Linked DNA regions of Macaca mulatta. Each later gene encodes a partner of the first gene's protein in a complex. Links are inferred from orthologs where the notes say so. Each region holds a gene or a part of one and is shown on either strand. Other genes may lie near its edges.

Region 1 (3,967 bases):
ACCTCACTGCATTCATCTTTAAAATTTAAAAACCCCCTGAAGGGGAGGAGAGTAACAAAGACAGAAATTACCACAACTCCAAAATACAACTTTCCTAACACTTTTGTACTTCTCTGGGGGAAGATAGTTAATATTAAGACCCAGAGGACAAAATAGGAAAGGATGGGTATGTCATGGGAAAAAACAGAAGCCCAATCCCAAAAGGCAGGTTTTGATACAGGGTCTTACTCTATCACCCAGGCTGGAGTACAGTGGCACAATTACAGCTTACTGCCGCCTCCGTGTCCCAAGCTCAAGCAAACCCTCCTGCCTTAGCCTCCCAAGTAGCTGGGACTACAGGCATGCGCCACCACGCCTGGTTTTTCTGGTAGAGACAAAGTCTTACTACACTGCCCAGGCTAGTCTCAAATTCTTGGGCTCAAGCAATCCTCCCATCTTGGCCTCCCAAAGCACTGGGATTAGAGGTGAGCCACCAGGCCCAGCCAAGGCAGGCTTTCTAAAGAGAAGTTCCATGGCCTTCTTCAAATCTCATTCTAGCCCCAAATAAAGCTAAAGAGTTATCATCCCACGGGAAGGAACACTGCAGGGAGAACACACTCCACTGCTTATGCAATTGGCCCCACCTAGCCCCAAACCCTAACACCCACCCGATTACATCCACTTTACCTTTCCTATGTCCCTCTCCTCTGAGTATTAAAAAAAACAAAAAAATTTTTTAAGGAAAAAAAAAAAAAATCTACCACCCCATTGAGGACACCCCTCCCCAACACATATGGGGGGAAACGGGGCACGGCACGCGTTGGGTTCAGGAAAAAAACCGGGAACGGAAAAAGAGGCTGGTTTGGTCCTCAGCTTCCTGGTCAGGTTTCCCCGCGGCCTCCGCTGCCGCCATCCACCGCTGGGTGCCGTCTGCATTCCCTCGCCGCGCCACGGTGCTTCTCTGTTGCCGGCTCACATCAACCGAGGTTCCAGATGGGTGCAAGGAGATGTGGGTGGGAAGGAGTAGGGTATCGGGGATTGAGGTGCCAAAGGCCCCCACCCCTGGAGGTGGGGAAGGGGAGGATTCATTTGTGCTGATGCTCTTCTTTTGGACATGCCCTGCCATCTGTCTGTCCCTCTCTTGCTCTCCTGCCACCGGAAAGTAGGAGTTTTGGTGAGCAGAAGGCTCCAGCTGTATGCTCGACGCCACCTTGACAGTGCGTGGCTGTAGGGGGCACGTAAGAGACGATGGGTGGGTGGTAGGGCAGAAAAATTCTGCCCTCCCCCAAAGGGAGAAGAGGTTCAAAAATGTTGTGATTTTTGAAAAAGTCGAACACTACCCGCTCTCACATTAACCCGACCAAGTCTTCCGGAGTTTCCCTGGCACCCGCGCAGACCCTAACACTAGCTGTCTCTGCTTCTGTATGTCTCTTCAAGGAGTCATTACTCCCAGTTGGGCACAAGCCGCCTTCTTGGCACTTGAATGACAAGGGAGTCTGAGGAAGAGGGCGAGGAAGGGGAGGAGGCAGCGGGCGGGGAGTGGAGGGAGAGAAGGTAGAAGGGTATTTACATCTTGCATGAACTTGCGGCAGACTGGACGGATCTCTTTGCTCAAGGTAGCACTGAACATCATGACCTGCTTCTCGTGGGGGGTCATGCGAAAAATTTCCTGGACATCCCGACGCATGTCTACAAGAACAAGGAAAAAAATTGTAGGAGAAAATAAGCAAGTATGATAAACAAAGATTAGAGGTAGACTTTCCAGTGAGGTGAAGATTGCTGGAAATAGTAATAACACAACGGAAAAAGCAATGGACTTGGAATCAAGAATTGGGATCAGATTCCAGCTGTTCGTTTTAACCAAGCAAGAAATAAGATAAAACCCCAAAGTTCCCAACTATAAAACGGGGACAAAGCCCAGTGCAGACGCTCTCAAGGCCTTCGAAACATGCTTTACAGGCCCTTCTCCCAATCCTTTCCTGTCCAAGCCCCAGCCAGCCCTCAGGAGACTACAAGTATCAACCATATATTACATTCCAGGTAGCAGAGTCCATCTATGACTCTCTGGATCACTTTTCTATCAACTCAGGCAAATATGACATTGCTACCTGGAGCCCACCTTTGTAACTCACCACACTGAATTGCCGAAGACCATTTGTAATGACTTATGGGGCCTATGTCCAACCCCACACTCATTCACCAAGATTCAAATCTTACAGAAAAAACTTCCATTAACCCCACTTGACACACTAGAATACCACACCACACGAACTGCTACACTCTCTACATTAATCCCAGACCTGAGTCTAGAAACTTATTCAGCTATAAATTCTGACTGTAAATGCTGTGCTGGAGATGCCAGAAGGGTACTGTCTTCTCTTTCAGTTTAGAATCTCCCCTATGACTTCCAGTATAGGAATCTATAATGAAAACGATGGTGGTGGTGATAACTTAGGCCTGAAATTACCGAAGTCCCCTATTCTCAAAGATTAAAAACAAAAATCATAGAAAGATGATAGATGACATCCTTTACTGTGCTTAAAAGCATAATAAAGCCCAACCAGGGAACCCAGAACCATCAGTCATGGGTGATAGATAAGAGTCGTCCTTGCACTGAGGCGCTCCTGTTTCAAATAAACATCATTTGGCTCCAAAGAACAACTCCCCAGCATTAGCCAAGTCCCAGCACTGCCACTCACCGAGCTGTTCAAGCATCTTATCACATTCATCCAAAATAAAGTGTTTAATGTGTTTGAGGTTGAGGCTCTTATTTCGAGCCAGGGCTAGGATACGGCCTGGAGTCCCCACGACGATATGCGGGCAGTTCTTCTTCAGCACCTCTTCATCCTTCTTGATAGACAGACCACCAAAAAAAACAGCAACCTGCCGAGAGCCAGGAGCAAAGAGTCTCAAAAAAGAGGAAGGAAAGAGTCCAATCCCCCCAGAGTTCCCACTGTTTGAGCTAAACCAATTTTTAGCATGTTTCAAAACTAAAACGAACTCTAGAGGTCACCTAATTTAGAAATGTTATGTCCCCCCACCAAACACTGAGGGTGACTGCCTAAAGTTACATAGCTAGTCGGAGCAGTCAGGACAATAATTCAGTTCTTCTGACTTAATCTAACCGTCTTCCTTCATTTATGAGGCCAAGCCTCATTTTAAAAATAAAGGAGTCAGGTGTGGTGGCGCACGCCTATAACTCCAGCTACTCGGGAGGCAGAGGTTGCGGTGAACCAAGATCTCACCATTGTACTCCAGCCTGGGCAACAAGAGTGATATTCCGTCTCTAAATAAATAAATAAATAAATAAAATAAAGCCAGGCCCGGTGGTTCACGCCTGTAATCCCAGCAGTTTGGGAAGTCGAGGCAGGTGGATCACTTGAAGCCAGGCGTTCAAGACCAGCCTGGCCAACATGGTGAAACCCCATCTCTTCTAAAATACAATATTTACAAATTTACTACTAAAATACAAAAACTACAAAACTTAGCCAGGAGGCTGAGGAAGGAGAATCGCTTGAATGCAGGAAGTGGAGATTGCAGTGAGGCGAGATTGAGCCATTGTACTCCAGGCTAGATGACAGAGCGAGACTCCATCTCAAAAAATAAAAAATAAATAAATAAAGGACGGCAAGAAATTACCAGGATTAGTATAAAGTACCACAAAAAAACACATGGAACATTAAGTTTTCCTAAATAAACCCAGAATCTCAAACTCCTTCATACAAACCCCATGAAATTACTGCTTTGGGTGAAATATTATCACTTCATGTTAAAACCATTAGGTGAATAGTTGGTTAGGGATCTGGGCCTTGGTACAGTGTCAAATAACACCAGAAACTCTAGTTTTAAGGGGGAAAAGAATGACCATGGAATCAGACTGTCACGATGCTAATCCTATGGTAAACCTAAAGTCACTAATGAGGCCAGGCACAGTGGCTCACACCTGTAATCCCAGCACTTTGGGAGGCCGAGGTGGGTGGATCACTTG
Region 2 (3,967 bases), on another chromosome or scaffold:
GAAGTGACTACCAATGTGTGTGTGTTTTCTAATCATACCTCTCAAAAAACATGCTGTGAAGCATTATTGTTAACTTTCTAGCACAAGATCATAAATCGCTTCTAATCAGTGGGAAAGGCTCCAAACATTATGCATCTAGCATAAGTAGGTGTAACCAACCATAACAGCCTGTCCTATTACTCCCCTGATTAACACACAATTATGAGGTCAGACTGCATTCCACAAGTCTCTTGCATTCAGTTATCCTGCATATAGTAATTTCCCAAGCTTTGTGCTTTAAAGGGAGAACTGTACAGTGCTCGGAAGTTCTTTATCCATTCCAATCCTTAACTGCCACCAATACTGGCCTTTAATATTAACAGGAAACTTAAGGATGTCAACTCTACCACTTAGTTTTCACTCTAGAGCTGTGCTGCGTAAGGCAGCCTCTAGCTACATGTGGCTATTTAAATTATTATTATTTTTATTTTGAGACAGAGTCTCGCTCTGTCGCCCAGGCTGGAGTGCAATGACACGATCTTGGCTCATTGCAACCTTCGTCTCCCAGGTTCAAGCAATTCTCCTGCCTCAGCCTCCTGAGTAACTGGGATTATAGGCGCTGTCACCACGCTGGGCTTATTTTTGGTAGAGATGGGGTTCTGTCATGTTGGCTAGGCTGGTCTTGATCTCCTGACCTCAGGTGATCCACCTGCCTAGGCCTCCCAAAGTGCTGGGATTACAGGTGTGAGACACCAGACCCAGCCTAAATTAAAAGTAAATTTTATTTATTTTCTTGAGACAGAGTCTCACTGTCGCCCAAGCTGGAATGCAGTGGTGCTATCTCCACTCACCGCAACCTCCACTTCCTGAGTTCAAGATATTCTCCAGCCTCAGCCTCTCGAGTAGCTGGGATTACAGGTGTGCGTCACCATGCCCGGCTAATTTTTTTTTTAGTAGAGATGGGGTTTTGCTGTGTTGGCCAGGCTGGTCTCGAACTCCCGACCTCAAGTGATCCGCCTGCCTTGGCCTCCCAGAGTGCTGGGATTACAGGCCTGGCCTAAAATTAAATTAAAAAAAAATTAAGCTCCTTAATTGCACCAGTCACATTTAAAGTTTTCAATAGCTACTGTACCAGATAGCAAACACAGAACATTTCCATCGTTATAGAAAGTTCTGGCTGGGCACGGTGGCTCATGCCTGTAATCCAAATACTTTGGGAGGCTGAGGCAGGCAGATCACTTAAGGTCAGGAGTTCAAGACCATTCTGGCCTTGAACCAACATGGCAAAACCCCGTCTCTACTAAAAATACAAAAATTAGTCAGGCATGGTGGCGGGTGCCTGTAATTCCAGCTACTTGGGAGGCTGAGACAGGAGAATTGCCTGAACCCAGGAGGTGGAGGCTGCAGGTGAGCTGAGATTGCGCCACTGCACTACAGCCTGGGTGACAGAGTGAGACTCCATCTCAAAAAAACAAAACCACATAAAAAAATTCTAGTGAATATTACTACTCTGGATCGGGACTACTTCCTGCAGAGCCTATACTTAAAGCTTCCTGTTGAAAGGTCTTTTGGAATGATCTGTCAGAGACTCATCTTCAGCAATTTCCATTTACTCTTGGAAAATGGTGGTGCCTTTTGCTGCTTTCCTGAGTCAGGGAGGAATCCAGTCACTCCAAGGCTTAAGACAGCCGAAGCAGAAAGTCTTGTTTATTTTTGGTCAGTGAGCCCAGTGGTTCAGGGTGGGGGTGTAAGGGTGTTATATTTAACTGCTGAATTTATGCACAGCCATGCAATGCTACCAAAGCCCTTACAGTTGCATGGCACCGCCCTCCAGACGCCCAGCCACAGCTTGGACATATCCTTCCACAGCCACTGTCCGGACTTGCATATAAATTCTATGAATAATAAAGAGTAGGTTTTATTCAGGTCTGAATAGGATTATCTCTCACTGTAAGTTTGAAAGAGAACCCCTAACTCAAATTACTCAGTACTCTTGCTCCACTTTACTGGTAAAACTTTAGGTGCTGTGGAAATGAAGGTCACTCTACTCTGTATATTTTAGCATTGAAAATCTTTGACTAAGGCCATGCAAACTCCCTGCACTAGGGGAACAAGAATAAAATTATTTCCCTGGTGGGTAAATCATTTAACAGAGAGTAAAGGATGCTGTGAGATTATCTAAAGCTGAAATAAAGTTTCTTTGTGGAATAAGCCATTAATTTATGTTAAGGGTTAAAGATCTGAAAACAAAAGATTAATACTCATTGGTAACAGAAACAGGCCACATAGATGGCAAACTCCCTAAAAGAGAAAGACAATAAAAAGTTACTTATTGGTACCTGCCAAAATTGGAATTCTCTGAACTTCTCTTTCTTCCAGAGAAGTTTCAGTTTTTTGCCCTGAGCCACTTTGCAATCATCCATCACGTTCTGACAGCCTCAGTGGACTCCCTGACAGAGATCACCAGCTGCTTCTGGAGCATTAAGACCCATTCTCTCACCTGCTTAAGTTTTAATGCTGCCTGGACAGAGGGTCTATTCTCCATCTGCTGGGCCAGTCTTCTGTTTCTGGCACTGGCTAGCTGCTGTTGTTGCTGCATCGAAGCCCGAATATTCACTGGCGTCGGCTGTTTGTTCTTCAGCATATTAGTAAAGCTTCAAGGTCGAACAAAATGGATGTTTAAATAAAAGCTTTATTACAAACATTTATTGGCATTTTCATGGCTTGCTAGACCAGGAGCTCCAGATCCCACGAACTTTTAAGTAAAGTGGTACACTTAGATCAAGGCTGATGTGGGTTAAAGACTCCTCTGTTTCCACAAACTTGCAAGAATCAGAAACTCAGAAATGCAGCTAAGTGCAGCACATTCAACCAAAAGTGATAACAAGGGCTCAGGTGACAGCTTTTACAGAGGTGGAAGGTATGAAAAACACGCAATAAGCAGATATGACAAGAGACAGAAGATATAGTTTCAAAGACAAACAAAGAAAGCCTAAACTTGGGGGATCCAAGGTGCATTCTAAGGCCAAATATGAGGAAGGACTAGAGCACCTTCAAAGCTCACAGCAATTAACATACTCTCATAAATTACAGGAGTGTATCACATTTTAAAATATGTCACTTAGTAACATGCAAACATAAATATTATTATGTAAACATAAATAATTAGCCTATAGCCAAAGAGATAAGGAGAGAAGCACACATGCCTCAGAAGAGGCAAAAATAGACATTAAGTAAATTCCAGTGGTCTAAAGTCAACTTAATGAAATCACTGATCAAAGGCAATCTTTTTTTTTTTTTGAAACAGAGTCTCACTCTGTTCTCTGTTGCCCCGGCTGGAGTGCAGTGGCACGATCTTGGCTCACTGCAACCTCCGCCTCATGGGTTCAAGTGATTCTCCTGTCTCAGCCTCCCGAGCAGCTGGGATTACAGGCATGCGCCACCACGCCCAGCTAATTTTTCTATTTTTAGTAGAGACAGGGTTTCACTATGTTGGCCAGGCTGGTCTTGAACTACTGACCTTGTGATCCACCCTTGGCCTCCCAAAGTGCTGGGATTACAGGTATGAGCCACTGCGCCCAGCCAAAGGGACTCTTAATGAACAAAGTTGTCAAAAATAGAAACTGCCTTTAAATACTTTTACTTTTCTTAGTCTCAAATCATCACTTTTTCTGACTCCAAGTAGTTACTTTTGAAAGTTAGATTAGTTCGATCATTTATGAGCCCGTGAAGAGACTCATTATTTCTGTCAAGGAAGTGTAATGGAATGGAAGAGAAGAACACTTAACTGTAAAAGAATCCAAAACAAAACCAAACTAAAAGCAGAATGGAAAGAAAGTGAAATGGAGCAAAGCAAGTGCCTCTTACAAGGCCCAAGAACGACATTCAAGGACCTTTGGACATATTCATGGCTTGCTACCTGCCTCTTACAGGCCAGACACAACACTGCTGGCCTTGGACTGGGCAGCAAGCCTACTGTAGCCAGGGT
Region 3 (3,967 bases), on another chromosome or scaffold:
TTTAGAATACAGTCATCCCTCCATTTCCTCAGGGGATTGGATCCAACCCCAACCCTGCAGCTGATACCAAAATCCACTATGCTCAAGTTCTGCAGCGGATTATAATAAGTTGCTCCTCCATATCTGCAGGTTTCGCATCCCAAAAATACTGTATTTCTGAACCACATTTGGTTATGAAGAACCCTCAGATACAGAGGGCAAAGTGTATTTATTGGGGAAAAAAAATAAATCCATGTATAAGTGGACCTGTGCAGTTCAAACCTGTGTTGTTCAAGTGTCTACTGTATATCCTTCCAACCTTTTTTCCTATCTATACATGCACTCTTACATGACTAAAATGGGAACATACTGTTAATATAAATTTGTAACTTTTTATTAATATCGCTGATAAATATCTTTCAATATTATTTCAGCACAGTATAGTCTTCTATACCATGGCACACATTTAATAACCAATTCTCTGTTGTACAGTTGGTTGTTTCCAGTTATTGATCACTGTGATATTAATGCTGTGATAATCCTTGAGGCTAAGTCTTTATGCACATTCAAGACTATTTCCTTATACGTTCCTAGAAGTAAAACTGTTAAGGTAGAAGATATTCTTTTCCCTTTTATCACTTATAATAGCCAGTATAACACTGGAAAGTATGCAATAATTTTATGCAGTTGAGACCCTAGAATAAGTAAGCAAAGTACTAGAGAAACTTCTTTGAAGATGTTCAAGAAAGACAGACAAATGTTGGCACTTCCTATCCTCTCATAACATTCAGTATCTCTTTTAATTGCCCAGGAAGGCCTAAGTATAATTATATCTAAAGCAGGAGATGAATGCTATAATCTCTTAAGAGTTTCTACAGCTAGCAAATTTACTTTATTTTGGAGAAATGAAACCTGTTATACCAGAAAAGAAAGAATAAAAGGGTAACTTTCTCAGAAGTATCTCTGTACTCTTACCTTTTGTTGGAACTGAAGAAATCCCAAACCTGAAGAAGGAAAAACAAACTAAATTTTAGGAAGCTGTTCACACTCCTGGTTGTCTGTCTCCGTGTCAAGTATACATATGACACTTCTTGCTTGTGATCTCAAGTCTTGCAATCATTAGCTAATTCTAACAACCCCATGAAAGAGGTTCAGTTTACTCTCCCTCTTACCAAGTCCAGAGATTAAGCTAAGAGGAAGCCTTATCAGAATTAGTAGTAGTAGTCAGTTCCTGGCTTTAACTGTTACAAAAACCCTTCTCAATAAAGCCCAATTTATAGCTACTATAACCAAACCAGTAGATACGTTCTGAATAGGGTCAAAAAAGTGTTCATATCCTTCAGCAAGCCTCTATTCTACTTAAATCAACAATTATATCAAAAACCTAGGATCACATATCTTCACCTTTACAACATCACTATCGCAGGCCCAAAAGGCTGGGGACACTCACCTAGCTGCCCGAGCAGCTTTCTTACTCTCCAAGCTCACAGGTACATTGAATCGTTCAGCCCTCTTCTGCATTCTCTAAGTAAAAATAGACAAAAAAAAAAAAAAAAAAAAAAAGGAAGAAAAAAGAAGTCAATTTATGGTTTAAGAAAGTTAGTCAGAGGTAGGTATCTTTAAAAAAATAAAAATAATAAAAATAAAAAAATTTTTTTTAAAGTCTCACTCTGTCCCCCAGGCTGGAGTACAGTGGCATGATCTCAGCTCACTGCAACCTCAGCCTCCTGGGTTCAAGCGATTCTCGTGGCTCAGCCTCCCGAGTAACTGGTATTAGAGGACTGTGCCACTGTGCCCAGCTAATTTTTGTGCTTTTAGTAGAAATGAGATTTCACCATGATGGCCAGGCTGATCTCGAACTCCTGACTTCAAGTGAACTGTCCACCTCAGCCTCCCAAACTGCTGGGATTACAGGCGTGAGCCACCCCGCCCAGCCAAAAGAAGGTATCTTAAAAACATCAGAAGTAATTTCTTAGGGTCCAAACTGAAAATACTGACAATCCTAGAAGATAGCAGGTTGTGTCCATACTAGGACTTAACAGCCCTTCCCAGAAAGCAAACACAAAAAGACTATTATTACATACCCTCAAAAACAAAAGGGAGAAATAAAGTAAAACCTATATTATACATGAAGCCAAGAAGTCAAAAGCTATGTTTGGCTGACCTTTGAAAAGTAATCAAAGGAATAGCTTGGTTCCAACACTAATGGCATTCTTTCAGTTAGAAATGAGGCAGCATTGTTTTATGCCATTCTAAAAGAGTTTAATAATTCTCTACTTTGCAAGTATGACACTGAACACAAGATCTCAACTGGAACCTGGTTTCACAGTCCTACCCCACAGAAACCAGTGGAATTTCAATCTCAGCTACTGGCCGGTAGCAACATAAGAGTCACATCTACCAATACATTTTCAAAGTACAATCCTCCCAAATTCTAATCCTAGGTTTGTAAACATCTCAAAGAGAGTCATTGTTAAGACAATAGTGTTACATATAAAAAGACTACAGCTTCAAGAAAGACTACCCTATGCCAGCCAAATATTTTCCAAAGAGCAGCTGGCAGTGAAACGTTTCAACACCAAAATCTGTCAATACTGATTTTCTGCCTGTGAATAAATTTTAGAGGATGATGCAGATATAATAAAGGGTAAGAGGGAGACAGAAATGTAGAGACTGTTCTACTAGGGAACAGAATACCTACCTCAGTCTGTGGTATTTCAGATGTAATTTTCACCACTTTCTTCTCTGCTGCCCTAGAAAAGAAAGAGATCTTTTAAAATGAGAAAACTGATATTCTAAACCACAACCTCAGAAATGTGTAAAAATTCACTTGAATTATCTCTGCCCTATTATCTCTCTGCCACCCCTTATGCCAAGGAAACATGAAGTTCACTAGAGCTTTGGTTCCTTTAACTGTCATCTATTGAGAAGAAAGAGTTCAAATAACAAACTAATCTTCTTTAGCTAAAGTACAATAAAGAAATAAGGAAAGAAGTCTGGTTAAATACACTGGGCTGAAGGGAAACACTCAAAGGACACCAGAAACCATCTCATTTGCTTTTAGGAACTTTTTAATTTACTTTTTTTTTTTTCTGAGACGGAGTTTTGCTCTTGTCACACAGGCTGGAGTGCAACGGTGCAATCTTGGCTCACTGCAACCTCCACCTCCTGGGTTCAAGAGGTTCTCCTGCCTCAACCTCCCAAGTAGCTGGAATTACAGGCGCCTGCCACCACGCCCAGCTAATTTTTGTATTTTTAGTAAAGATAGGGTTTCACCATGTTGGCCAGGCTAGTTACGAACTGGCCTCAAGTGATCCACCTGCCTCAGCCTCCCAGAGTGCTGGGATTACAGGCGTCAGCCACCAAGCCCAGCCTTTAATTTACTTTTGAACTAATGAGTAACCCTCCAATCCTCCTTTAAGCACCAGCTCCCAATATTCATCACAACAATTAAGTACTCTACAAGGTCTGGTTTCCTTCTTTTAAAAATCCCTTATTTCTCCCATGAGGAATGTAGCTCTAGTTGGAACAAAGTGGAACAAATAAAAATGCCAAAGAAGGTAGGAAGAAAAAAGTCTAAGGGGAGTTTGAATTAGGAAAACATGGCATGTTACTGGTCAAAGGTTTAAGAGAAAACAAAAGAGGGGGGACCACAGGGGCGGGAGACAAAGTTCGGAAGTACCCAGGATAAATGGAAGGGCATTAACCCTCCACCAAACAACTCCCATAAAACTGTGGGTCATAACCAGTCTCATTAAGGTCCCTCATTTAGAGACATGGGCAGCTTTTGTTCCAATATCCCGGACACTTTTCCCATTTGATGCCCTGAAAGGTAGTAATGGTTTAATGACATTTTCAGAGGAAGCAATTCTGGAACAAGTACTCTCTTCCACCCTTTTATTGGAAATCCCTGGACTGACAGACAAGCAATGGGTGCCCCCTGCTGACCATAACAAAGTCCTACAATATGTAACTGCTTTAGCTGGTT
Region 4 (3,359 bases), on another chromosome or scaffold:
GCTGCTGCGCGCCATCCGCCAGAAGGTGGCGCTCACGCAGGAGCTGGAGGCCTGGCAGGTGAGGGGCGGGGTCCGTGTGCGGAGGAGGGCAGGGGGCTGGACCGGTGCTGAGCCGACCACGGCCTCCCGCAGGACGACATGCAGGTGGTGATCGGGCAGCAGCTGCGCTCACAGCGCCAGAAGGAACTGAACGCCGCCGCGTCGTCGTCGACCCCGCGCCGTGCCGCGCCCCGCTTCTCGCTGCGCCTGGGCCCCGGGCCCGCCGGTGGCTTTCTCAGCAACCTCTTCCGAAGGACCTGACGGCTGGGCCCAGGGGCTGCCCTTGCCCGCTTAGGGGCTCACTTTCCTCTTCTGGCCAATTAAGTGACAGGGCCTGGATTATCTTCCAAAAGGAGATGATGCCCTCCCCACCCCAGGATGCTGGGCAAGGGCTCATCGGCAGCAGGGGCTCATCCGGAGCAGGGGCCAGCTTTGTGGGGCAGGAGCCCCTGGTGGGTGGCAGGGGCAGGTGAACAGAGCTATTTTCCGAATCAATATAGGTCTATCTTTTCTAGGGCAGGGATGGGGCTGGGTATTTATGTATCAAGATGGGACAGAGTAATATATAAATCACTCCACCGATTTAGCCTCCATTCGTGGAAAGAAAGAGCATGGAAAAAAAGCCTGAAACTTTATTGTAAAAAAGAAAATGAAAAACACTCTAAAACCCTGGGCTGGCTGGGGATGTTGTCGGAGGTCAGAAGGACAGGGAGAAGGCTCGGTAGCCCAGGTTGGTGAAGACATCCACCCGGCAGCTGTTACCTGCAGCTGTCAGGACCTGGAGGAAAGAGGGGCATGACTGGCCTGCCCACACCCCTGCCCCAGCCACCCCATGGCCCCTGCCAGACCCACCTTGCACTCGGGCGCGGCGGGCTGCTGGTTGAGGCTGAGGCTGAGCAGCCCTGGGGAGGAGCCAGGCACCTGGGCCTTCAGCTCCCCGCTCAGCTGCCACTGGTTGACACAGCGGCCCTGGCCAGCCGACAGAATCTGCAGAGGACAGGGAAGGTGCTCGGGGGTCACGACTGAAGGGAAGAGTCAGTTGGGGTGGCAGAAGTGAGAGAGAGGGACTCACCAGGTCCTGGTAGAAGGTGACATGCTTCTGTGGCGCCCGGATGGGGAAGACAGTGGTAGGTGTGGAGGATCGGAGGTGCCAGAGGGTGAGGGCTGGGCCCCCTCCACAGACCTGGACAGAAAGGTGGGAGTCCCCAGCTGTGAACTACAGGCCCACAGCTGACAGGGCCCGGAGCTGCCATCCAATCCCACAGTCTGCCCAGCTCACCATCCAGTCGGAATCAGTTGCCAAGCATCCGATCCAGCGTCCATTGTGGGGCCTTGAGCACTCCTGGGCGGCGGGGGAGGGAAAGAGGTGAAGACATGCAGAATTCAAGGAGCGGGAGGGGAAGAGGACAATGGCCATGGACAGACCCTCACCTCGTGCTTATAGACCTCGATCGTCTGGACCTCCTTGGCTGTGCGCAGGTCTGCGGGGAAAGAACTGTGAGTGGTGCCCCATTCACCTCAGCCTCCTTCACTGCCATCTTGCCCTCCAGCCAGCCACCTCCTTACCCCAAAGTCGAACAGCTCCATCCTCGCCACCTGACAGCACCTCTGGGCTCCTTTCCCGCAGTGCCAGGCAATGGATGTAGTCTGTGTGGCCCCGGAGGACCCGCTGCATGTAGAGGGGCGATGTCAGGAGGAGACCTAGGAAGAGTGCCTCTCCCTGGCCTGGACCTGCTCTAGGGCTCCAAGACCCTGCTCACCGTGAAAGTCCCAGTTTCAAGGTCCATAGTGTGCAACTGACAGTCTCCCCCAGCCAGGATGAGGGAGTTCTCCTGTGGAGGGAGCAGGGTGAGGCAGGAAGTCAATGTCAAATCAGGGTAGGCAGAGGGTGAAGGATCAAAGTTTGGACAAGAACAGTCACATGGGGCTCAGACCTTGGGGACCAGCAGCAGAGCATTGATCTCGGGCACTTCCAGGCTGGTCCTGGGGAAGGAAAGGCAGGGTCAGTGAGGAAGTCACTTCACCCCGATGCCCCCTCTATCCATGTGGCCCTGGCTCACCTGTATGGAGGCTGCCGATGCCACAGCTCCTTACACCCCTTCAAAAGGGAAAATACCAGTTGACCTCAAAGGCTCTCTCTGGGTCCCGGCACCCCAGCCCTTTCCCGAGCTCAACTCCTTACCTTCTTGAGCATCTCCGCCCAAAGCCAGGCCTTCACCTCCCCATCCCCAGCACTAAGCAGATGTCGATCGGTGGAGACCATGCTATAGACAGGCCCATCATGGGCTAAAGAGAAATGCAGAACTGAGTTGACCAATTCCACCCAAAGTCCCGAAGCCAGACTCCACAGCTATACCCACCTTGGAAAGTCACCACCGGCTTCTTACTTTCCTCTTTGGCTTCGGAGCTCAAAGCAGCGGACAAGCTGCAGGGGACAGCGGAGGGGACCCAGGAGTCAGAAACAGGGGCATCCGTCCCATGAGGGCCAAGTGCCAGGGCTAATGGGTGGACAGCGGCAGAGGGTACCTGAAGATGGCAATCTGCCCATAATTGTTGCCAGCCGCCAAAAACTTCCCACACGGTGAGACGCTCTGGGAGAAGATGGTCATATGGAGCCGCTGCAAGGCCTGGAACACCTCTGTCTGCAGGGAAGAACTGGATGAGGCCTGCCTGGGATGTATGAAACCTCCCAGCCACAGACTCCTTCCTGCTTCCCCCAACACCTGCCAGGCCTCCCACTGTCCTGACTTCTCAGCCCTCTTTTGAGGCGGCCCGGCCCCAAGCCAGCACTTGCCCATGCAGTCCCATGGGCGGCTCCAAGAAGACACTGAAGAAGGGGCGAGTCGAGGTGATGCCTCAGGGACCTCTGAGCAAGCACCCAGCACTCTCCTACCAGCTTCCTCAACTGTCAAGTGGAGCTCACAGAAGATTCCATCACCATTAGATGAGCTAGTGTATAGACAAGAGCTTTCCATGGGGCTGTCACTCAGTGCTGAAGCCGGGTGTGGTGGCTCATGCCTGTCATCCACTGCTTGGGGAGGCCAGGAGTTCGAGAGCAGCCTGGTCAAAATAGTGAGACTCCGTCTCAACAAAAAATTTAAAAATGTGGGGCCGGGCGCAGTGGCTCACGCCTGTAATCCCAGCACTTTGGGAGGCCGAGGTGGGCGGATCACCTGAGGTCTGGAGTTCCAGACCAGCCTGACCAACATGGAGAAACCCATCTCTACTAAAAATACAAAATGAGCTGGGAGTGGTGGCGCATGCCTGTAATCTCAGCTACTTGGGAGACTGAGGCAGGAGAACTGCTTGAATCTGGGAGG
Region 5 (3,967 bases), on another chromosome or scaffold:
CTACCAATGGAGAAGCTGCAGTAAGTTATCAGAAGATCTAGCTAAGAACATTGATGAAGGCGTCTACACTTAACAGATTTTTCAATGCAGATGAAACATTCTGATATTGAAAGATGCCGTCCAGGACTTTCATAGCTAGAGAGAAGTCACTGCCTGCCTTCAAGGAACAGGCTGACCTTCTTGTTAAGGCTAACGCAGCTGGTGACTTTAAGTTGAAGCCAATGTTCATTTACCATTCTGAAAATCCTGGGGCTCCTGAGAATTATGCTAAATCTACTCTGCCTTGGGCTCCATCCATAAAGACAAACCCTGATGACAGCACATCTGTTTATAGCATGGTTTACTGAACATTTTAAGGCCACTGTTGAGACTTACTGCTCAGAAAAAAAAAGATCTCCTTTCACAATGTTATTGCTTATTCACAATGCACCTGGTCACCCAAGAGCTTTGATGGAGATGCACAAGGAAATTAATGTTGTTTTCATGCCTGCTAATACATCATCCATTTTGTAGCCAATGAATCAAAGGGTTATTTCAACTTTCAAGTCCTGTTATCTAAGAAATACATTTCATGAGGCTATAGCTACCATAGTGATTTTTTTTTCTTTCTTTCCTGAGACGGAGTCTCGCTCTGTCGCCCAGGCTGGAGTGCAGTGGCCGGATCTCAGCTCACTGCAAGCTCCGCCTCCCGGGTTTACGCCATTCTCCTGCCTCAGCCTCCCAAGTAGCTGGGACTACAGGCGCCCGCCACCTCGCCTGGCTAGTTTTTTGTATTTTTTAGTAGAGACGGGGTTTCACCGGGTTAGCCAGGATGGTCTCGATCTCCTGACCTCATGATCTACATTTGAGAAGATGTGCTCATTGCTACTGGAGTATCACTACTTCTGCGGCCCTCTCAGAGACCAGAGCTAGGAAAGACATATGTGTATACTAACCATACTCAGGCACTACTGTAAGCTCTTCACGTGTTTTAATTCATTTAATCCTCACAACATATAAAATAGGTGGTATATTAGCCCAGCATTAAGAAAAAGAGAACTGAAGCAATGAGATATTAAAATCTCGCATATCTGAACCGACTGGGGAGGGGGAAGGCTCTGGAGAATAAGCAATGTCCCATTTCAGGAGCTACAGAGTGGTTATACAGTATTTGTTTCATTATTATTTGCTTTATGTACTTTTCTATATAAGCATTATATTTCACAATAAAAATCTGTTAAAAAAGAGAAATGAAAGGAAGTCTATATAGCTAAGTAGTCGTGACTGAGAGAGAAAATGGAAACACAAAAATAGGCATACATTACGAAATATAGATGTGACGGTTTATATCTACATGTTTCAGTATGATTCAACTGTACGTTAATAAGCTTTGAACTTAAAAGAATCCATGACTTTGTTTCAAGATTACCTGTATTATATACTAGGACTGCTATAACTATTTATAAGTAAAAGAAAATAAAGTGACAATTTCTATGATGTCTTTCAACTTTTTAGAACCATTTTTCTCATTATCATGACAGATTTTAATCTATTAAAAACTGGAAAAGATTTTCCTGCAGAAAACTCATTTAACGCATAAAAGCTTACCTGATTTCTCAGACAGTGGGAAAAGCCTGGCCAAAAAGAGCTGAATCCGTCCACAGAAGACTGTATTCTGGGATTTAGACAATCTTCTTAGGAGATCTAATGATATATGAAAATGAACGTTACACAGAAAAGATAATTCTATGTTTATTACAACCATACCTAAAAGTTTCTAAACCAGTTTGTCGAGAGTATTTTCCTAAAGCAGTAGTTCTTAAAATGGGGGCAGAAACCACTGCCACAAAAAAGTACTAGAAATTAGGAACAAAACAAGTTCAACATGACATGAAAAAGACAAACTTTACTACATGTTTCTGACTTTCATTAAGTTTATGCCCAGAACAAAAACAGCTTAAAGTGAATGAGTTCTAATAAATCCGATTGTTAGTTAAAAATACAAATACCTAATCTATTTTTAAAATGTTATCACTGGTATTTAATTCAACCACATGTTTTTCTGGGCATATTTACATTTTAAAAAGCTATCATTTAATCACTCAATTACTTACCATTGCACATACGTAGTAAGTAATTTTTCCCAGCAGAATAGAATGTATTCTGAAATTAAGATGGAAATTATCACTCTTCTTCTGAACTTGTTACACATTCTTCAATAAGTTGCAGGAAGTAAAATATTAAAGAACACTAACATGCACTGAGAATCTACTATGCCACTTACACTTTTTTAAAGTAAATAACATTTTCAATGAAATGAAAATATTTTCAGATATAAGATAAGAAAACATGATACTGTTTTTAACATGTGAAAGTGTGAATTTTCAAGTTAGTTTTTATTACTCAAATTAAATCAAATTTTGTATTTCAAGTTTTTCTCCACACATGGTTTTTACTTGGCTCTCCCAAGAGAGCAGTATATAATTTTTTCATAGGCACAAACTTGTTGGCGATCAGCAATACTACAAATAATTTCTTTTTTTAAATCTACCCTCAGAACTCTGAATCTACAGAAATACAAAGTTAGCAGGAAAAGAAACTAAGGCACTTACTGATTTCCAAGTAGCAACATTTTTTTCCACAAAAGTGAATATTGTGTCACACTGATCCAAAGGAAGACAATCCAAAACATCTCCCAACAATACAAAAGGTGTAGATGCGGTACAAATACCTTCAAGTGGAGCACAAGCCAGTTTAAAAGTTTAAAAAAACATTAGAGTAAAACAGCCTATGAAAAATAATACTGAAGAATATCTTAAAAGGTACACTTTGTTACTCATAACAAAGTTTTAAAAGGACAAGAAGTGGAAGCAGCCTACAAGTCCCCAAACAGGACATATTTAAGTAATTTTTGATATGTGCACTCAGTAATGATGACAATAATTCTTGACAAGATCTAGAGCATTTACTATATGTCAGGCACACTAAGTACTTTACATATACTAACACATTTAATCCTTATAACCCTATGAAGTAGAGCATATCATTATTTGCATTTTATAGAATGGGAAAATTGAGACACAGAGAGGTTAAATAACTTGCCCAAGATCACAGAGCCAGTAAGTGGCAGAGCTGGGATACGAACCCAGGCAGTCTGGCTCCACAGTCTGTTTTCTTCACCACTAAGCTATTCAAAAGAATATAATGCAGCCAATTAAAAACGATGGTTATAACGACTATAATAACTTGGAAAAATGCTTAGGATATAATGCTAAGTGAAAAAGGCAGGATTCAAAATTGTATGTACATATGATTATGACAATAAAAAAATTCTTAAAAGACTATAGAAACTAAAACCATTATACCAGATGAATGGTTTTTAAAAGTAGAGGAATTATGAGTACTGTTTTCCCTTTTTCTCATTTCCAAATGTTTTGTAGTGTTGCTAAATTGTCTTTGTGATTTGAAAAGATTATCTTCAAAAAATAACAAGGTTTGATATTAACTATGATTTAACATTTAAAATAACAGTATTGTTTCAGGGGAAAGAATGGAAAAGTAGAAAGTTACTGTTTAAAGAACAACAAAATTAAGATATTCTTAAGAAAAGGTCTATTTAGTCTATTCAGACTACCTAGAAATACTTTTATATCCCTACTCATCCTTCCTTCTATTTTAAGGCAATGGGTACTTACTAACACTCATAAGTGTTTAAGAAAAGTAGTTACTTAGGCATGGTATATGGGGAAAAATATCTAGGGTGATCTAAGTCCAAAACAGTGCATTAATACACTATATCTAGAAAAAGGAAGAAATCTTTCCAGCTGTACTCTGCACTAGTAAGATCATATCTGGAATGTGATGTGAGGGATATTGCCGAAAAGCAGTGGTGGAATAAAACAGCAGATTTCAACTCAATACAAGGGAACACACCAATAACCACACTTGTCTAACAGGACTCAAACAGTGACCTCCACTAATGAGCATG
Region 6 (4,702 bases), on another chromosome or scaffold:
TAGCATAAGGCATATAAATAAAGTATTAAGGGTGACAGCAGCAATATGCATAAAATAACATGGCTAATAGGCAGAGGGTCAACTACTTCCAGGAAAGAGGGGATTTTTGAGTTGGGTCTTGAGGAAAAAGTGGAGTGTCACCTGATAGAAAAGGCAGGAAAAGGCAACCTGTGCAGATTAAGAGAGAAGGCACAGTCCACATCAAAGGAAAGTGGAAGACAGATTAGTAAAACTACTCTGACATTTAATAATATTTACTGAACATTAATTATTATGTGTTGGACTCAATGCAAAGCCCTTTACAACTTTTTGTGTTTAATCCTCAAAACAATCCGCTGACACAGATTTTATTATTATCTCCATTCAGAGACCGAAGCTGAGACAGTCTGTAAGTGGCAGGGTAGAGATTCCTGTGGACTCTAAGGATGTGGTGGGGCACTCTACTGCAGTCAGTACTTCAGAACTCATCTTCTGTCCCTATCTCCCATCTGACAAAGCCTATCGCTCCTTTGGACATCTCTATCTCAATAAATAGAAAAGTAGTGCTAACAGGCACACAGTGAAGTCAAAAACCTGGGATCATCCTAAACCCCTTCTCCCCGCATTCATTCAATACCCGAAGTTCTGACATTCTGCCTCACAAATTTCCCTCCCACCTGTCCTCTTCTCTGCATTCCCTCTTGGTCACAGTCCTCATTGTCTCTCACCAGGGCCACTGCAGAAATAGGAGACACAGGAGGCATAATAGTGAAGAGCGGGAACTCCGCAGGTGGTCTCCCTGCCTTTGACCCTCTATGACTTACTATCTGTGCGACCTTGGGCAAGCTAACCTGTGTCTGTTTCATCTGTAAAATGGGGACAACAATTAGAATATTACCTGACAGCACCATGTAAACGTTAGTAAGTGGTAAGGAAACTTAGCTCCTCACTTTCTCTTCCTCTAATCATTCTGCACATAACAGAGACAGTGTGTATGCGGTTTTTTTTGTTTTTTTTTTTTTTGAGACAGGGTCTCACTCTGTCACCCAGACTGGAGTGCACTGATGCGATCGTGGTTCACTTCAGCCTCGACCTCCCAGGCTCAAGTGATTCTCTCTTGTCAGCCTCCCAAGTTCTGGGACCACAGGTGTGTGCCACTGTGCCAGACCAATTTTTTTGTATTTGTAGACATGGGGTCTCATTATGTTGCCCAGGCTGGTCTTGAACTTCTGAGCTCAAGAGGTCCACCTGCCTTGGCCTCCCAAAGCGCTGGGATTACAGGCGTGAGCCACTGTGCCCGGCCATGTGTGTGTGTTAATGCCAATCTGATTAGCACAACACCAATGTTAAAACTTTTAATGGCTTCCCATTGCCCTTAGAAATCTCTGGCTCATAACTTTCTAAATTCTAGCAATAACTGTCAACTTTGAGTTCTTCCAACATCTTGGGGCCTTTGTACAAGTGGCTAACAACCCAGAACACCAGTCCAACATCTATTTATTCTTCAAAAATGGGATTATCTTTTTTGGGGAAGCTTTCTCATTTCCATTGATTGGATAATCTTTGTTACATGTTCCTACAGTTACCAACCTTGTACTTCCTTGTGGTAATATTTGTCACTCTTAAAACTCATTAGTCAATGTTTCTTTCCCTTCCGACCGAAATTTTGGAGAGGGAAAAGTTCTTGCTTGTTGGTTCTGGGTTGTAATCCCAAAGCCTAGTCCAGGAAGGATAAATGTCCACTAAATAAATGAAACTGGAATGAAGCAAAGCTGAAATTCTACATGAAGTTCCTGGGTCTTTAGTAGTCTTCCACCTCCACTACTCTTTACCAGTCTGCAAATTTGGGCCTATCACTGTTCTTCCCATGGCCAGGCCCTTTAATGTGGAGACCCTGGTGGTCTTCAACTCTTCAGAAGTGGCCTCTCCACAGGCATTTAGTTACTGGTCACCCTCTCCTGAAAAACACCCAAAAGCCCTAGATCTCCCCTTCCCAGATATCAAAGGACCTCCTTCCTCCCTAATCAGATAACTTGTAGGTTCTCCCTCCAGTTGCCGATCATGCCCCTTCCCCTTTCCCCAAAGTGTCACCTTATTTCTGCTCTCACTCCATAGACCATCTCCCTTAGACAGTCCACAAACCCAGTCTTTGCCCCTCTAAATCCATTCCAGCTGACAAATCACCCTCCCCAACAAACACATATACATCTTCTATCCTCCTGACCTACCCTAGATGGTTTCTCATCACTATACTGGCTCCTCCTTACCCCCCGTAAATCTCCCAGGTACACTTCCCCATTACCCTCCGGATACCTCATCCCTCTGTATTCCTTTTATAAATAATTCCCTGCTCCCTCTCCTCACCCACAATCCACTCGCAGTTCAAGGCCTCATTGCCATCGACTCCATTGTCTGTGAGTCCTTCCCAATATGCCCCAGGACCCCTCCAGGTGTCACGCTCCGTATCCTGACATCCCTTGTAGACGAGTCCCGAAACTCCCGTTCCATCCCTGGAGCTCCCACTCCCTCCTAGTCCTCCAGAAACCTTCCAGGCCCCCAGCCCCAAGCCCGGCACCACCGCCCACCATTCGCGGCTCCTGGGCCCTCACCGCGCCCCTAGACAAACCCGTACTCCCTCCGGTCCCACCCGCCCTTGCACCGCTTCTAGCCGTCTCGGCCTCCCACGTGTGTTCCCAGCCCACCGACCACGCTCCCGGCACACCCTACAGCCCCGCGCTGCCTTCGGGAGAGCGGGCGGGGGAGGCCGAGGGGCTCCGAGGGGCGCTCGGCCTCTGGCGAGAGGAAGGACTCAGGGAAGCAGCCGGGGAGGCCCGGGGCTTCGGGGAGGGGTCTGGAAGGCCGAAGCGCTCGGGCGAAGCGGCCGGGGCAGGCCGAGGGGTTCCCGGAAGCGGGCTGGGAGGCCAGGGGTCTCCGGGGAGGCCGAACAGGCTGTGCAGCCGGCGCGGGTGGCGGTGAGCGGGGCCTCACCGTCAGTCACGGCTCCCATGGCGTGCGCGGCGGCGGCGGCGGCGCAAGCTGAGGCGGCGGTTGGCGGCGGCGGAGGTCAAACTCCCACAATGCAGCCGGGTAAACAGCCATGGAGGAGGAGGCGGCGGCGCCCGCGGCCGCCTGCTCCGACGCCTGAGCCGCGCCGCGCCGCCGCCGCGGGACCCCCGCTCCCCACGCTCCCGGTACTCCCCGGGGGCGGCCGCGGCCGGCGCGAGTTGGGGTGAGGCTAGGCGGCCGGCGGCGGCCCCGGCTGCAGGCCGGGCTCCCGCCGCCCCCCTTGCAGCCCCCGCCCGGCCCACGCCCAGAGGCCGCCCCGGAGGCCGCAGCCAGCCGCCAGGTGAGCTCGCCCGGACGCCGCCAGGGCTGCGGGGACGCGGCGGGGGCTGCGGGCCGCCCGGAGTCGGGGCCCCAGCTCCTTCTCCGGGAAGGTGACTGCGGCCCCGCCGCCCCATCCAGGGTGACGCTGCTAGGGGTGGGCTCGCTTCCCTGGGGGATGGGGAGGGTGACGGGGACGCCAGGATCCGGCTGAGCCCGGGAGAGGCGGGACTAGGGGTACAGAGGGGACGCGTCGCTGGGGGTCCCCTCGAAGTTGGCGCCCACTCGCGCTGGGGCGGGTCTCGAACGCCGGCACTTGCGCGGGGCGCGGCCGGCAATCAGAAAAGGCCCCGGGTTCCAGGTCGCGCGGTTCCGGCCCCTGCGGCCGCCCCCTTCCTTCCTGGGCTCGGCGGGTGCGGGAAAAAGGGTGAAAGAGAAACTTGGCGACCTCCCGGAGGAGTTCGCGGAGCGACCAGGAGCGTGTGCCCATCGTCCTCACCCGGCACCCAATTCCACCACAGAGTCGGGATCTCGTCGGTGATCATGATGGGGTGCTTTTATTTATTTTTCTCTTTGATTTTCAGAAAATGTTTCTGTGACTGTCCCTATCTTAAGGGGAAGTTGAAAGTGGGGGCGGGGGTGCTCAATGAGAAACGTTGCCTTGTGTGTAGTTGTCTGGAGCACACTGCAAATTATATGGGCATCTCTTTTCGAAATCACTTTGACTCAACTTCGATAGCTTTCTCGTAAATGGCACGTTTAGGTGGTGAGAGGTGGATGAGGAAACAGGCACCAATACAGCTGATTTGACCTCCAGTGGGATAGATACGATTAGCACCAGGATCATGTCTCAGTTGACACAGGTTTGTTATTTTATTCAGTCATATCGTTGTTTTCCAATTTTCCTGTCCACTAAGTAGATCTTGCATCTTCATATCCAGGATGAAGAAGTTGTGTGGGATAAATTTGGTTGTTTCAGTTTCCTTACTAACTTTAGGTACATTATCCCTGTTTTCCCCCCAGTTCTTTCAAAGAGGAGAAGCTGCAGATGCAAATGTATTAAAGTGAAGTGTGTTTAACCTCTAGCAAGAAATATGTACAATTTTAGTCATATTATATGAGACCAGTGACTTCAATAATACCATTACAGTGCTCTCAAGAATTAGCGCTCAAGAATTTAACTTTTGTCACAAAGACAAAAATTACTTTATGTGAAGATTCTGAGATGTAACTTGCCCTCCCCTAGGGTGTGAAGTTTCCCTGACTTTGAAAAAATACTGACCTAAACGCTGGCTGTAGGTGCGCATCAGAGCCTGTTCATCTCCTTTGTTAGGAGACAGGGCACTCTAAGTGAAGAACTGTTTTAAAAAAATCTTAAGTACTACAAATTGTAAACTGA
Region 7 (4,501 bases), on another chromosome or scaffold:
CTGATTTTCTACAGAACCAGTGGCATGGAAGCAAGAAAAGAACTACTTTCATCATAGATTCCTTAACTTGCTGAGCAGTGCCTCTTTCTGGATGACAGGAACTTAGCAATTGATTTATTTAAAAAAGGAAAAACCAGTCAGATAATCCTCCCAAGGCATCTACAAAAGTGAAGAAGAGGGGCATCAGTTGCATGCTAATAATAAACATAATTATACCAACATCAAAGTGTGAGAGAGAATAGTGATTCATGAGCATGGCCTTTGGCAACATACAGGTTTAGGTTTTTTTATCCCACTCACCACTTGTTCTAGGGTGAGGCTGGGCAACTCAATCTCTCTGAGCCTCTCCTCTGGAATTATAATAATACCTAACTCAAGAGCCTTGTCAGGATTAAATGAGATGATCCATATAAAATACATACTTGCCAAGGTAAGTGCTCAACAGACAATGCCATTACAACCAGAGGCCCTGCTAATGGTCTCTTTCAGTCATCTGGTGATCTAGGGCAAGCCAGCAATCCTAATGCTTCCTTGCACTATAACCAAAAGCAAAAAATCCTTTTTTAAAAAATTAACCATTTGAGCCAAGCACAGTGATGATTTGGACCCCTGCTTTCTGACTGGACCTGCTCCTGGCTCCAGCTTGTCCAGAGTTTTCATAAACAGACCAGGTGACCCCTAATGCAGATTCCCTGATAATCTACAGGCCTAGACGTGGATTAGGAAAAAAGTGAGTAAAGTGCCACTTTTTGGAGAAGGGCTGGATAAGTAGAAACAATAATCACTCCAATCTCCAAGTTTTGCCCTTTAGCTTCTCTGCTTTGAGGGCAAAAGGCTGACGGTCTTAACCTAAACGTTGGAGGAGGATGCAGTCCCCAGATTTTTTCCTTCTCTTTTTTTCTTTTTCTTTTTTTTTTTTTGAGACGGAGTCTCGCTCTGTTGCCCTGGCTGGAGTACAATGGCGCGATCTCGGCTCACTGCAACCTCCGCCTCCCGGGTGCAAGCGATTCTCCTGCTTCAGTCTCCCAAGTAGCTGGGATTACAGGCATGTGCCACTACCCCCGACTAATTTTTGTATTTTTAGTAGAGACGGGGTTTCACCATGTTGGCAAGGCTGGTCTCGAACCCCTGACCTCAAGTGATCCGCCCGCCTCAGCCTCCGAAAGTGCTGGGATTACAGGCGTGAGCCATCGCGCCCGGCTTAGTCCCAAGATTTTAGAGCCCAGAAGCGTTTGCAGGAGGACGCAGGGAGAGACTGACTCCCCTCCCTACAAAGTCGCTTTTCCTTTGATACCTCCTGGCCAAGGAAAACCATACACTGGAGACTTCCAGAGACGGCCAACTCGCACAAACGGTGGAAAAAAAAAATCCCAAAACCTACACTGTCCCCACTAGAAGCACCGCCCCCCGTACGCGCGTGCGTGCGTGAGCGTGCGTACGCACAGGCTGCTGGGATGCCGCTTTTCCCTTTTCGGTCTTCCAGTTTCCCGGCGTGCTTCGGGCCCGCCAAATGGGAGGGGGAGACGCAAGATGGCGGCAGCCGCGAACTCCGGCTCCAGCCTCCCGCTGTTCGACTGCCCAACCTGGTGAGTGGCGGGGCGGCCAGGGCTAGAGTGGCCTGGCCGGAGCTAGCCTGGGCTGGAAGGGCGGCTCTTTTTTTACTTTTCTGCTGCGAGCCGAACGGCTCAGAAACCCTGGAATGGTTGAGGAAAAACTGTTCGCTGCACCGGGCCGGGCGACGTGTTGAAGAACCGAGAGCCTGGAGCCCAGGCCCAGGAACTGAAGAAACACGGGATTGGGGGCTCAAAGGCGCTCACTTAGGCAGCCCCTTTGAGCGATTAGCCAGTCGCTGGAGCGCTTTGAGGCCTTTGCCCGAACTTACGCCCAACTCCTGACTGAGTGCCTGGTGCTCTCATGGAGCATCGTACCTGGCCCCTTCCTGTACGTCCCGAGCGCTCTCGAGCCAGCCCCTGCCCCAACCCTACGTCTGAGCCCCGCATCCCTCTTTGGTTGCTGCATCCCTCGTGCGGCACTTTTCTGTCTGCCACAGAGAACACGAGGGTAGGTTAGCGCCCTCCCTGCCCTCAGGGAGCTCCCAGTCTGTGGCACGAGTAGGCATTAGTAATGGCTGGCATGAACCCTTTTTATCCCTTCGAAAGTTCTTGGGAATAATGAAATAATTTGGCCTTTGAGTAGAGTACAAGTTGAATAAATATGAATTACCTTACAAGGAAACGCTTCTGAAATTAAGAGTTTTTTTCTGCTGTAGCTCATCGCAGTGTATTGTTTGTTACTTGTCTCTGTCTCCCGTTATATTGCCATCCTCAAGGGCAAAGACTGCATCTTTGTATTCCCAGCTCCAAGGCCTGAGTCAGGCACATACAGAAAGTATATTTTGGATGTAACATTCCTCCTTTTTCGTGGACAAAATGGCCTTTTGTCCGGTGCACTGTCCTTTCCATAGAGGAGGGGTTGGGGCAGGATTGTTTGAGATGACTGTGTTGCATCTTCAGTTAGCTAGACAAGGATACGTTTTTTTCGTGTGCAAATCTAGAGGTTCTAGTGAGGTGGTTCTTTTTTCTAACTTCAAATTAGCAAACCCAAAAAGCAAGCAAATGTGTGGCTATTTTCTGGATGGCTTTGCACTTTTGTAATGGTTGCTTCAGTCTACAAATTCTATATCCGTTTTGATCCCTCGCTGTATTGATTTCAAACTTGGACCAATACAGCAAACGTAGTTAGAAAGCACTGCTTTGAGATCACCTACCCTTTCCTTAGGGTCTGGTAGGTACCAGGCACTGTTAGGTGCTTTGACATATGTGAGTCTCCCTTGAATGATATGGCTGTAGGAGTATAGAGGAAACTTCCCTTAATCATGCTGTTGTAGAAAGACCTGTTCAAGGGTAACATATTCATTTGGTACCTGGTTTCATGGGGCATGATTTTGAATTGCCCTAGTTCCCTAATTATGCACCTCTGATTTGGTCTCAGAGCTCAGGACAGTACTCTGCTTACTCTGTGATGAGACTAATCTTGATCAGCCCCAAACAGCAACTAATTTATTCGATCTTTATATGATATTGGAGTAGGGGTAAATTTCAGATTCAAACTCCAGGTGACCAGACCACTCCAGCTATCGTACTTACACTCTCTATGCAGCTCTTTCTCTGAGGTGAAGATCCAGTGTTAAAATATAGGTTTCTTGGTGCTGCTCTAAATACAGATCCACTAAAATCTGTTTCAGAGCAGTTGAATCACTAGGGAAGTAAGTGTCAAACGTAGAATGGAGCTGTAATAACAGTGAAGTGGATGACATTTCTGCTTGAACATGAACTAATTATAGGCTGGCTGGTAGGAAAGCTGCAATGTTGAATGGGACAGTGATTGTAAATTGCATTTATAAACTCATCGTGAAAATGCTTTTTTCTATTTTTATTTTTCAGGGCAGGTAAGCCCCCTCCCGGTTTACATCTGGATGTAGTCAAAGGAGACAAACTAATTGAGGTATGGAAATACATGTCTTCCTTTTTTGCCCACCACACTAAAGATTTTTGCCAGTGACTCACTTTTCCACCCCCTCTCCTGTGCTTTGTTTTCCAGCAATGCTACTTTCTTTCATCCTGATTTTTTTTTCTGTTAAAAGCACATGGTGACATCACACACTTAAAGCTTGTATCTACCACAGACACTCACTTTTTTGTGACTTCTCTCAAATGAATGGTTTTAATAGGTCATGGGTCCTGTGGGCCCCAGTCAAACTGGAAGCCCTGTTAGCTTGGTTAATTCCCTCTCCCTGAGTACATGGAGTTGTGTAAACCGTGCAAGGTATGCAGTAACTGAAGAAAGTGAATGATATATGTTGAGTTTAACTTTTAAGTTAATTTTAAGAGATTCAGGCCCAACTCCTTATAAGAAATATGGTAAACTAAGACGACACTTACTCAAAAAGATAATGGAATTGTGGTGAAATTCATTAATTGATTCTTTGAAAACATGTATTGAGTGTTTACTATGTGCCAGTTACAGTGCTTGGCTTACAGATTGCAGCAGTAAGGGAAACCAACATGATTTCTCTCCTCAAGTCGTCCAGTGGAAGAGACAGAATCACACCAAAAAATTACATAGTTATATTTGAATTAAGTACTATAAAAGTTTAGCAGAATTCCAGCTTTTATACAAGCCTCTAGAGAGAACACCACATAGGAGTTCAAGAGAACATGAGTTTTTATTAGCTATTAGTTTACGTAAATTTTTTATAATCCTTATGGTATTATTTATTTACCAAGAGATGGATATTAAGCCCACCATGACCATGTAGCTGTGAGTCTCCCTGTATTAGACCAATTTTATATTTGCTTGCTCAGCTAGAATTTAGGTTCAAGGCCCCATTATTGAATGCAGTTTTTTCCTTGTGGTTTTTTGGTATTTAATAAAAATGTTGCAGTTCCATGGTTGCTAGATTGAAAAGCTATCTGAGATCTTTTGAAGGTTACTCTGTAAA

The links.
Region 2: DDX39B (region 1) and CHTOP share a complex: the UniProt entries of both Homo sapiens proteins name them as parts of the transcription/export (TREX) complex. The link is inferred for Macaca mulatta from reciprocal best matches to the Homo sapiens genes DDX39B and CHTOP.
Region 3: DDX39B (region 1) and SARNP share a complex: the UniProt entries of both Homo sapiens proteins name them as parts of the transcription/export (TREX) complex. The link is inferred for Macaca mulatta from reciprocal best matches to the Homo sapiens genes DDX39B and SARNP.
Region 4: DDX39B (region 1) and THOC6 share a complex: the UniProt entries of both Homo sapiens proteins name them as parts of the transcription/export (TREX) complex. The link is inferred for Macaca mulatta from reciprocal best matches to the Homo sapiens genes DDX39B and THOC6.
Region 5: DDX39B (region 1) and THOC1 share a complex: the UniProt entries of both Homo sapiens proteins name them as parts of the transcription/export (TREX) complex. The link is inferred for Macaca mulatta from reciprocal best matches to the Homo sapiens genes DDX39B and THOC1.
Region 6: DDX39B (region 1) and THOC7 share a complex: the UniProt entries of both Homo sapiens proteins name them as parts of the transcription/export (TREX) complex. The link is inferred for Macaca mulatta from reciprocal best matches to the Homo sapiens genes DDX39B and THOC7.
Region 7: DDX39B (region 1) and PPP1R8 share a complex: the UniProt entries of both Homo sapiens proteins name them as parts of the spliceosome. The link is inferred for Macaca mulatta from reciprocal best matches to the Homo sapiens genes DDX39B and PPP1R8.

The regions. Positions count from the first base shown.
Region 1 is NC_133409.1:150,793,227-150,797,193, reverse strand, and holds part of DDX39B (spliceosome RNA helicase DDX39B), read right to left. Parts: intron 2,863-3,967; coding exon 2,679-2,862; intron 2,629-2,678; exon of another isoform or gene 2,553-2,628; intron 1,669-2,552; coding exon 1,550-1,668; intron 1-1,549. UniProt on the Homo sapiens protein: Involved in nuclear export of spliced and unspliced mRNA. Component of the TREX complex which is thought to couple mRNA transcription, processing and nuclear export, and specifically associates with spliced mRNA and not with unspliced pre-mRNA.
Region 2 is NC_133406.1:113,394,845-113,398,811, forward strand, and holds part of CHTOP (chromatin target of PRMT1 protein), read right to left. Parts: intron 2,634-3,967; coding exon 2,480-2,633; intron 1,875-2,479; coding exon of another isoform or gene 1,791-1,874; intron 1-1,790. UniProt on the Homo sapiens protein: Plays an important role in the ligand-dependent activation of estrogen receptor target genes. May play a role in the silencing of fetal globin genes.
Region 3 is NC_133416.1:62,948,541-62,952,507, forward strand, and holds part of SARNP (SAP domain-containing ribonucleoprotein), read right to left. Parts: intron 2,733-3,967; coding exon 2,681-2,732; intron 1,504-2,680; coding exon 1,430-1,503; intron 984-1,429; coding exon 955-983; intron 1-954. UniProt on the Homo sapiens protein: Binds both single-stranded and double-stranded DNA with higher affinity for the single-stranded form. Specifically binds to scaffold/matrix attachment region DNA. Also binds single-stranded RNA. Enhances RNA unwinding activity of DDX39A.
Region 4 is NC_133425.1:4,268,834-4,272,192, reverse strand, and holds the end of THOC6 (THO complex subunit 6), read right to left. Parts: intron 3,100-3,359; exon of another isoform or gene 2,830-3,099; intron 2,682-2,829; coding exon 2,566-2,681; intron 2,465-2,565; coding exon 2,400-2,464; intron 2,326-2,399; coding exon 2,222-2,325; intron 2,138-2,221; coding exon 2,100-2,137; intron 2,023-2,099; coding exon 1,974-2,022; intron 1,872-1,973; coding exon 1,800-1,871; intron 1,709-1,799; coding exon 1,606-1,708; intron 1,521-1,605; coding exon 1,471-1,520; intron 1,382-1,470; coding exon 1,319-1,381; intron 1,223-1,318; coding exon 1,112-1,222; intron 1,027-1,111; coding exon 892-1,026; intron 818-891; coding exon 737-817; 3' UTR 664-736; downstream 1-663. Other genes in the region: BICDL2 (BICD family-like cargo adapter 2), read left to right, coding at 1-58, 133-300. UniProt on the Homo sapiens protein: Component of the THO subcomplex of the TREX complex which is thought to couple mRNA transcription, processing and nuclear export, and which specifically associates with spliced mRNA and not with unspliced pre-mRNA.
Region 5 is NC_133423.1:71,588,451-71,592,417, forward strand, and holds part of THOC1 (THO complex subunit 1), read right to left. Parts: intron 2,711-3,967; coding exon 2,592-2,710; intron 2,143-2,591; coding exon 2,094-2,142; intron 1,684-2,093; coding exon 1,588-1,683; intron 1-1,587. UniProt on the Homo sapiens protein: Component of the THO subcomplex of the TREX complex which is thought to couple mRNA transcription, processing and nuclear export, and which specifically associates with spliced mRNA and not with unspliced pre-mRNA.
Region 6 is NC_133407.1:127,419,142-127,423,843, forward strand, and holds the start of THOC7 (THO complex subunit 7), read right to left. Parts: upstream 3,030-4,702; 5' UTR 2,987-3,029; coding exon 2,968-2,986; intron 1-2,967. UniProt on the Homo sapiens protein: Component of the THO subcomplex of the TREX complex which is thought to couple mRNA transcription, processing and nuclear export, and which specifically associates with spliced mRNA and not with unspliced pre-mRNA.
Region 7 is NC_133406.1:213,110,037-213,114,537, reverse strand, and holds the start of PPP1R8 (nuclear inhibitor of protein phosphatase 1), read left to right. Parts: upstream 1-1,524; 5' UTR 1,525-1,530; coding exon 1,531-1,586; intron 1,587-3,443; coding exon 3,444-3,504; intron 3,505-4,501. UniProt on the Homo sapiens protein: Inhibitor subunit of the major nuclear protein phosphatase-1 (PP-1). It has RNA-binding activity but does not cleave RNA and may target PP-1 to RNA-associated substrates. May also be involved in pre-mRNA splicing.